Linked DNA regions of Saccharomyces cerevisiae S288C. Changing the gene in region 1 together with any one later gene gives a genetic interaction. Each region holds a gene or a part of one and is shown on either strand. Other genes may lie near its edges.

What was found. Genes that interact genetically often act in the same process or in processes that back each other up.
Region 2: mutations in FES1 (region 1) and HSP42 impair growth when combined (synthetic growth defect), as found in Saccharomyces cerevisiae (one study listed by BioGRID).

The regions. Positions count from the first base shown.
Region 1 is NC_001134.8:441,757-446,589, forward strand, and holds FES1 (Hsp70 nucleotide exchange factor FES1), read right to left. Parts: upstream 2,938-4,833; coding exon 2,065-2,937; downstream 1-2,064. Other genes in the region: MMS4 (Mms4p), read left to right, coding at 1-1,834; exocyst subunit EXO84, read right to left, coding at 3,306-4,833.
Region 2 is NC_001136.10:802,320-808,248, forward strand, and holds HSP42 (heat shock protein HSP42), read left to right. Parts: upstream 1-4,301; coding exon 4,302-5,429; downstream 5,430-5,929. Other genes in the region: YDR170W-A (gag protein), read left to right, coding at 876-2,198.

The DNA.
Region 1 (4,833 bases):
CTTCCAAGATATCAGTATAAGCAAGCTAGATGACTTTTCTACAACAGTAAATTCCATCATAGATTCGTCTCTCAGAAATGAGAATAATGCAAAAGGAAACGCGAAAAAACTTTTGGATGATCTAATAAGTGATGAATGGTCAGCTGATCTTGAGTCGAGTGGAAAGAAGCACAACAAATCACAATACAATTTGAGGGACATCGCAGAGAAATGGGGAGTACAGTCTTTAAAAAATCCAGAGCCTATTGCTGTTGACTGCGAATATAAGACACAAGGAATCGGAAAAACCAATAGTGACATTAGTGATAGTCCGAAATCACAGATAGGAGCAGCTGATATACTGTTCGATTTTCCACTGTCTCCAGTAAAACATGAGAACCCAACTGAAGAAAAGCACAATTCGATTGCTAATGAAAATTCTTCACCAGATAATAGCCTGAAACCAGCAGGAAAACAAAATCATGGTGAAGATGGGACATCCATGGCAAAAAGGGTATACAATAAAGGTGAAGACGAGCAAGAACACCTTCCGAAAGGAAAGAAGAGAACCATAGCGTTATCAAGAACACTAATCAACAGCACCAAACTACCTGATACAGTAGAACTAAATCTTTCTAAATTTCTCGATTCCTCAGATAGTATTACTACTGATGTACTTTCAACCCCTGCAAAGGGGTCTAACATAGTAAGGACAGGTAGTCAACCAATCTTTAGCAACGCTAATTGTTTTCAGGAAGCAAAACGCTCGAAAACATTAACGGCTGAGGATCCCAAATGTACTAAAAATACTGCCAGAGAGGTATCACAACTAGAGAATTATATTGCCTATGGGCAATACTATACTAGAGAAGACTCAAAAAACAAAATACGACACTTGTTAAAAGAAAACAAAAATGCTTTTAAGCGAGTTAACCAGATATATCGAGATAATATAAAAGCACGCTCTCAAATGATTATAGAGTTTTCGCCTAGCCTTCTCCAGTTATTTAAAAAAGGAGACAGTGATCTGCAACAACAATTGGCACCAGCAGTTGTGCAATCAAGCTATAACGATTCTATGCCGCTTTTAAGATTTCTTCGAAAATGTGACAGTATTTACGACTTTAGTAACGATTTCTATTACCCCTGTGATCCCAAAATAGTTGAAGAAAACGTTTTGATTCTATATTATGATGCGCAAGAATTTTTTGAACAATACACTTCACAAAAGAAAGAATTATATAGGAAGATACGATTTTTCTCAAAGAATGGAAAACATGTGATTCTTATACTAAGCGATATAAATAAACTCAAAAGAGCTATTTTCCAATTAGAAAATGAAAAGTACAAAGCTAGGGTAGAACAACGATTGTCAGGAACAGAAGAAGCTTTAAGACCGAGAAGTAAAAAATCAAGCCAAGTTGGAAAATTAGGGATAAAAAAATTTGATTTAGAGCAACGATTGCGCTTCATTGATAGAGAATGGCATGTCAAAATACATACTGTAAATTCACATATGGAGTTTATTAATTCTCTGCCGAACCTAGTGTCATTAATTGGAAAACAGCGCATGGATCCCGCAATTCGGTATATGAAATATGCTCATTTGAATGTAAAATCCGCTCAGGATAGTACAGAAACGCTAAAGAAAACCTTTCATCAGATAGGGAGAATGCCTGAAATGAAGGCGAATAATGTCGTGAGCCTATACCCCAGTTTTCAATCATTACTTGAAGATATTGAAAAGGGAAGACTGCAATCAGACAACGAAGGTAAATACTTGATGACTGAGGCAGTAGAAAAAAGATTGTACAAACTGTTTACTTGTACTGATCCAAATGATACTATTGAATGATGATCGAACGAAACTTTGTATATAAGAACATACCTTAAGGCAGTCGTTTTGAAAATCACTGCAGCTCTATTTCCCCCTCCTTACCTTTTTAATGAATTCCATTTTACAGAAAGTACTATTGATAAATATTCGTAATAAAATAAAACAGTGTTAATAATAAATGTTCGAGATTCCGGTTAAAGATAATATGAAATGGTGAATGTAATATCATTTTATTTCTACGGACGTAATCATAATACATACTTTACGGCTAAATAATCGTCTTCATTAAGTCTGTCCTTTAGAGGCTCGATATGTTTGTAACCTTCGTTCAATTTGTGCAATTCCTGTTCATTAAATTTTATTCCGGAAGATATCAGGTGAGAGAGAAAAGACAGAACTCTATCTATGATGTTCAAGTTACTCTCGTCAGACAAGCACTCAATCGTACTTTCAATTACTCCATCCTTTCTCAGCACACTGATTATATTTTCATCAATCTTAACAGATGACAAATATGCGGTCAATAAGGCAATGGCTCTCATTTTCAGTTTTGGTTTGGCGGTGTTATCACTTAATACAGGTGCTATGCAGTCGAGCCCATTTAATTTGAAAAACTTTTCTGAGATATCTTTGTGGTTTCTTATTAGATTAGATAGTGCGTAAAAAGCTTTTGTTCTCACGTCGAGTGGCTTTGTCTTGTCACTAGCTATTTCGATAAGGCTTCGCAGACCATTGTCGTATTTCATGAAATTATTTTGCGAATCCAAGTTGTTTTGCACAGCCGTTCCAATAATGGATAAAGCAGCAGCACGTAGTTCTTCATCCTTCGTCTGAACAAGAACATCCAACAATGGCTCCCACAGTTTTAAATTTTCGATATTATTAGCATTATCTAAGTTCTCAATCAACATTTCAAAGTTGTCAAATGCAACGAGTTTTGTTTCTAAGTCAACCTCCGGATTCATAATAACAGCCATGGATTCTTTCATTAAGGTTGGATCGTCAGGACCACCACCACCGAATAACTGCTGTAGCAATTTAGGATCAGGTTGGCCGGCCCTAGCCATAGCTTCTTTGTCCCCTTGAGAATTCGCAATAGACCACTGTAATAGCTTTTCCATAGTTATGTATGTGTTTTTTTTTCTATTTTACTCTTTCGTTGAAAGGTAATGGCTTTCTGACTGACGATGAGTGCTCTTTTAGATATAGCCAATCGCTGGTTTATAAGCAAATTTCTGTCAGCGCGAGATGCCTTCCTCTTTTCTAACCTCCAAAAAACTTCCAGAAGATTCCAGTCCAAGAGGTATATCATTTCAAACGAATAAGCTGATTACAACCTTAATAGGGCCCAACTTGACCAACCAGTAGCTGAAAAGCTTACCTACAAAATAGGAAATAGGTTAGTACACTGTCGACAGCAGTGGTATAAGTATATACCCTACCTACACATCATATATATTGAAGTGAGGTTTATTTTCTGTGATCTTGTTTAGCGAATTTTATCACTGTTCTTTTTGATAAACTCGTCCAATTTGTAGACAAAATCCAAACCTACGGCCTTCAATCCATCTATCTGTTTTCTGGATGACTTAATGGACCCTGGGGATAACATTTCATCATTCAGTAATTGCTTGTCTATCAATTTGAAGTGATTATCCACTTCGTCGCTACACCAATCTACTAGGATGGAAGAAATCTTAGCCCCGAGTTCTTTGAAAATATCCTGGAAGTCCTCCACTGTTTTTTTAATGGTTTGGAACCTGATAACAGCCAATTGAGTCAAATAGTTCGTAGGATTGTCCACTGATCCAATCTGTAGAATCAAATCTTGAATGAAATTAGATCTATTCTGTAAGAATAGGTCAAGAGCTTGCTCTGGTAATCCTAACTTAATCATATTTTCAGTACCGCTTTTCAAATGCACTATTTCATTCGATGATAAAATGCTCTGAGAAAGTTTGCTAGAAATGGCCTCTCTTCTTTGTTCGATTTTTAAAGATATCAGGTTAAGTAACATTAACTCTTCATCAGAAATTCTTTCAGAAAGATCCTCCAATTGTGATTCAATATCCAATAATGTTTCCACGGCACTTTCAAACCTAAGCCTAGCTAATTCAATATCTATCTCTTCCACGCCTTCATCCAGGAATTTAAGCCTCTGGGCGGTTGAACTCATATCTCTGGACCTTGGCCTCGAATGCATTGATAGAGTTAGGTTCTGCAAAAGATATTGATCCATTGCGCCTGTTACATTTCGGCCAGGAGTGATTGAACCCCCCATACTACGTCTTTTGTTTTTGTTAGGGCTTCTGTTGTTTTCTCTACCTGGGGTTTGTTGCGTAGATTGCAAATATCTAAAGGACTCTCTAATACGTTTAGAGTTCTCCTCTTCTACATGGAATATGTCGCACAAATCATCCTTAGCCTTTCTTATAACGTCCAACAACCTAGAGCATTCGTCTGCGTCTCTACATTCATACAAACTTGAATTCGAATTGCTAAACTTGAAAAGTAGCCTCTTAGTGGAAAATTCCTCTTGCGTGACAGTGACATCCTTTAAAGGATAGCACTGGCTTACTATAAAGTCATTTTGCTTATCTCTTGATTTATCGGCGATAAGTACCAAATCATTCAAAATGAAAATCTGTACCATCTGCAAGGGTTTACCAGTGGTAGTATTTAATTCCATCCAATTGGCACTATTCATTAAAATATGTCTTCCTTTCGTAGAATTGATAAACTTCTGAGCACCTTCAACGTTCTTAAACAGCTGATCCAGTTCCGTATCCCAAAATTTCTCTAATATCAAGACGCTCGATCTGTCCCTCCTCATGAGATTCCCATTTTGTCCTGCTTTCAAAGGCGGAAGTAACGCTGGACTATTAGAATGACTTTCAACATTGTTAAAATTGCCTTGTCTCTCTTGATCTATTTGATCCTGCAATTGTAACCTTTTTTCAGCTATTTTGGTGCACTGATCCAAAACCTCGTTTAAATCATTTATATTTGCTCTAACC
Region 2 (5,929 bases), on another chromosome or scaffold:
TCTGGAGAAACTTAAAAGAAATCGAGTATAGCTTAGTTGCAGAAAATATTTTATATTTCTCCGGAAAATGACTTCAATTTCTATTAGTCTGCGTTTATTGAACAATTGGAGAGAAGCCAATGATGCTTTTTAAAGAAATGATGTAAATCCCAACTTTGAGCTTCCTTTCTCGTTGCTTTGTTTTTCCCTCGCCTCGATATTATAAAATTTACTCGGCGCCTTGATAAAAACTAAACGTTCACCTTCTTTCCTGTAGAGGGAAAATAACAATATGTATAAGCCTTCTCCGACATCAAAAAACTGTAAGAGCTTCAAAAGTACTAAAGTGTATATCTTAAGAGCATCGTTGGCTCCACTCTAACACATCAACAAAAAATATCAATGTTGATTTGTTAGAGTAAAAATAAAAAGAGGTCCTACCCGGATTCGAACCGGGGTTGTCCGGATCAAAACCGAAAGTGATAACCACTACACTATAGGACCGACAATTCATGTTAAATCCTCCTTTTTTAGGCTTTTATAAGTTACTTTGACTAGAGATGACTAGAAATGATTATATTACACGCACACACAATACACACATAGTGTTGGAATAAAAATCCACTATCGTCTATCAACTAATAGTTATATTATCAATATATTATCATATACGGTGTTAAGATGATGACATAAGTTATGAGAAGCTGTCATCGAAGTTAGAGGAAGCTGAAGTGCAAGGATTGATAATGTAATAGGATAATGAAACATATAAAACAGAATGAGGAATAATCGTAATATTGGTATATAGAAATATAGATTCCATTATGGGGATTCCTGACCCTCGAGGAGAACTTCTAGTATATTCTGTATACCTAATATTATAGCCTTTATCAACAATGGAATCCCAACAATTATCTCAACATTCACCCATTTCTCATGGTAGCGCCTGTGCTTCGGTTACTTCTAAAGAAGTCCAAACAACTCAAGATCCGTTAGACATTTCAGCTTCCAAAACAGAAGAATGTGAGAAGGTTTTCACTCAGGCTAATTCTCAACAGCCAACAACACCTCCCTCAGCTGCTGTTCCAGAGAACCATCATCATGCCTCTCCTCAAGCTGCTCAAGTACCATTGCCACAAAATGGGCCGTACCCACAGCAGCGAATGATGACTCCCCAACAAGCCAATATTTCTGGTTGGCCAGTATACGGGCACCCATCTTTGATGCCGTATCCACCTTATCAAATGTCACCTATGTACGCTCCACCTGGAGCACAATCACAGTTTACACAATATCCACAATATGTTGGAACACATTTGAACACCCCGTCACCTGAGTCAGGTAATTCATTTCCTGATTCATCCTCAGCAAAGTCTAATATGACATCCACTAATCAACATGTCAGACCACCGCCAATCTTAACCTCACCTAATGACTTTCTAAATTGGGTTAAAATATACATCAAATTTTTACAAAATTCGAATCTCGGTGATATTATTCCGACAGCAACAAGAAAAGCCGTACGTCAGATGACTGATGACGAACTCACCTTCTTATGTCACACCTTTCAACTATTTGCTCTATCTCAATTCTTACCCACCTGGGTTAAAGACATCTTATCTGTTGATTATACAGATATCATGAAAATTCTTTCCAAAAGCATTAACAAAATGCAGTCTGATACTCAAGAGGTAAATGACATTACGACCCTAGCAAATTTGCATTATAATGGAAGTACACCTGCAGATGCATTTGAAGCAGAAGTCACAAACATTCTTGACAGACTAAAAAACAATGGCATTCCTATCAATAACAAGGTAGCATGCCAATTCATTATGAGAGGTCTATCTGGCGAATACAAATTTTTACGCTACGCACGTCATCGATATATACATATGACAGTTGCTGATCTGTTTTCAGACATACATTCTATGTATGAAGAACAACAGGAATCAAAACGTAATAAATCTACTTATAGGAGAAGTCCGAGTGATGAGAAGAAAGACTCTCGCACCTATACGAATACAACCAAACCCAAATCCATAACTCGGAATTCCCAAAAACCAAATAATTCACAATCAAGAACAGCCAGGGCTCATAACGTATCCACATCTAATAACTTTCCCGGCCCTGATAACGATCTCATAAGAGGATCAACTACTGAACCGATTCAATTGAAGAATAAACACGACCTTCACCTTAGGCCAGGAACTTACTGAATCTACGGTGAATCACACTAATCATTCTGATGATGAACTCCCTGGACACCTCCTTCTCGATTCAGGAGCATCACGAACCCTTATAAGATCTGCTCATCACATACACTCAGCATCATCTAATCCTGACATAAACGTAGTTGATGCTCAAAAAAGAAATATACCAATTAACGCTATTGGTGACCTACAATTTCACTTCCAGGACAACACCAAAACATCAATAAAGGTATTGCACACTCCTAACATAGCCTATGACTTACTCAGTTTGAATGAATTGGCTGCAGTAGATATCACAGCATGCTTTACCAAAAACGTCTTAGAACGATCTGACGGCACTGTACTTGCGCCTATCGTAAAATATGGAGACTTTTACTGGGTATCTAAAAAGTACTTGCTTCCTTCAAATATCTCCGTACCCACCATCAATAATGCCCATACAAATGAAAGTACACGCAAGTATCCTTATCCTTTCATTCATCGAATGCTTGCGCATGCCAATGCACAGACAATTCGATACTCACTTAAAAATAACACCATCACGTATTTTAACGAATCAGATGTCGACTGGTCTAGTGCTGTTGACTATCAATGTCCTGATTGTTTAATCGGCAAAAGCACCAAACACAGACATATCAAAGGTTCACGACTAAAATACCAAAATTCATACGAACCCTTTCAATACCTACATACTGACATATTTGGTCCAGTTCACAACCTACCAAAGAGTGCACCATCCTATTTCATCTCATTTACTGATGAGACAACAAAATTCCGTTGGGTTTATCCATTACACGACCGTCGCGAGGACTCTATCCTCGATGTTTTTACTACGATACTAGCTTTTATTAAAAACCAGTTTCAGGCCAGTGTCTTGGTTATACAAATGGACCGTGGTTCTGAGTATACTAACAGAACTCTCCATAAATTCCTTGAAAAAAATGGTATAACTCCATGCTATACAACCACAGCGAATTCCCGAGCACATGGAGTCGCTGAACGGCTGAACCGTACCTTATTAGATGACTGCCGTACTCAACTGCAATGTAGTGGTTTACCGAACCATTTATGGTTCTCTGCAATCGAATTTTCTACTATTGTGAGAAATTCACTAGCTTCACCTAAAAGCAAAAAATCTCAAAATTCCCAATATTCACATAGTCTAAAGTACCGATAGCAACCAACATATATAAACAGTAGTATTTTACGAAGCTGAATTGCAAGATTAGTGAGAGGAGAATAACCGGATAATTTTTTTGGATTACGTTATTGTTAAAGGCTATAATATTAGGTGAAACAGAATGTCCTAGAAGTTTTTTTCTTTCATGTTAAATTTATTGATTCTTGCGCTTCAGCTTTTATAAAACATAAGAACTGTTTCTTCACGTTAACTTCTTGTGCCACATATAATGATGTACTAGTAATATGGGTACTATTTGGCAGATGATATTTGATTTTTATTCAAGACGGTTACTGTTTCTACGATTGATATTTTCATTCCTGGATATCATCTTGCCAGATCACTTACAATTTAGGCCGCGCCTGAATTGAAGAGTACTTCAATACGTAGTGTACTGTCCAAACTCTCTTCCAAATTTTTAATATTTAGCTGGGGTTGGGTAACAAGTGAGCAAGGGAAAAAGTGAACATTTTAAGAAGAACAATAAAATAGCAAGAGATGGAATGGTAATGCTTGGCTCTCGAGAAGAGTAGCATAAAACGAGACTTGTTTAAAACAGGATATGACATACTTCAATTCAGCTTTCCCTATCAGCCGCTCGAGCAGTTATATAGGTGTGTTGCCGGAGTAATTTGGCGGAGGCCAACAGTGGCTAGGCGGCAACGCCTGGAACACGCGCTTAAAAGTTCTGGAAGGTTCGCGAATTGAGAACTGCTCAGGGGCGAATACAGGGGCGGCCTTGGCGGCAGGGGGGAGGCCTCTGTGAAGTTAGTTATATAAGACTTGCTGTCATCGTTTTTTTGATCCCGGCAGGAACTATCTTTTATTCTCATACATACGGTCAAGAAGTATAATTATACATAACATAGGGACACGTTCAGGCAATTGTCCATATCCCACACAAATTAAGATCATACCAAGCCGAAGCAATGAGTTTTTATCAACCATCCCTATCTCTTTATGACGTTTTGAACGCATTATCCAACCAAACTGGCCAGAGAGGGCAGCAAGGATATCCTCGCCAACCACAAAGGCCACAGAGATACCATCCCCATTATGGACAAGTGCACGTTGGCGGGCATCATCCTCGTCATCATCCATTGTATAGCAGATACAATGGTGTTCCTAATACCTATTACTACCAGTTCCCTGGACAAGCCTATTACTATAGTCCTGAATACGGTTATGATGACGAGGATGGTGAAGAAGAGGACCAAGACGAAGATATGGTGGGTGACAGCGGCACTACAAGACAGGAAGATGGTGGCGAGGACAGCAACTCGAGAAGATATCCATCATATTACCATTGTAATACTGCCAGGAATAATAGGACCAACCAACAGGCAAACAGTTTAAACGACTTATTAACCGCGTTAATAGGTGTTCCACCATATGAAGGCACTGAACCAGAAATTGAAGCAAATACCGAACAGGAGGGCGAAAAGGGAGAAGAAAAGGATAAGAAGGATAAGTCTGAAGCACCCAAAGAGGAAGCTGGCGAAACCAACAAAGAAAAACCTTTGAATCAGCTGGAGGAATCGTCGAGACCACCATTAGCCAAAAAATCTTCATCGTTCGCTCACCTACAAGCGCCTTCCCCAATACCTGACCCGTTACAAGTATCCAAGCCTGAAACGAGAATGGACTTACCATTTTCACCAGAAGTGAATGTCTATGATACCGAGGACACTTACGTAGTTGTTCTTGCGTTACCAGGTGCTAACTCTAGGGCTTTCCACATTGATTACCATCCATCTTCTCATGAGATGCTCATCAAGGGTAAGATCGAAGACAGAGTGGGCATTGATGAAAAATTCTTGAAGATCACGGAACTAAAATATGGTGCGTTTGAGAGAACCGTTAAATTCCCCGTGCTGCCACGCATTAAGGACGAAGAAATTAAAGCTACTTACAACAACGGTCTACTACAAATTAAGGTGCCTAAAATTGTCAATGACACTGAAAAGCCGAAGCCAAAAAAGAGGATCGCCATTGAGGAAATACCCGACGAAGAATTGGAGTTTGAAGAAAATCCCAACCCTACGGTAGAAAATTGAATATCGTATCTGTTTATACACACATACATACATTTATATTTATAATAAGCGTTAAAATTTCGGCAGAATATCTGTCAACCACACAAAAATCATACAACGAATGGTATATGCTTCATTTCTTTGTTTCGCATTAGCTGCGCTATTTGACTCAAATTATTATTTTTTACTAAGACGACGCGTCACAGTGTTCGAGTCTGTGTCATTTCTTTTGTAATTCTCTTAAACCACTTCATAAAGTTGTGAAGTTCATAGCAAAATTCTTCCGCAAAAAGATGAATCTTAGTTCTCAGCCCACCAAAAGAGGTACATGCTAAGATCATACAGAAGTTATTGTCACTTCTTACCTTGCTCTTAAATGTACATTACAACCGGGTATTATATCTTACATCATCGTATAATATGATCTTTCTTTATGGAGAAAATTTTTTTTTCACTCGACCAAAGCTCCCATTGCTTCTGAAGAGTGTAGTGTATATTGGTACATCTTCTCTTGAAAGACT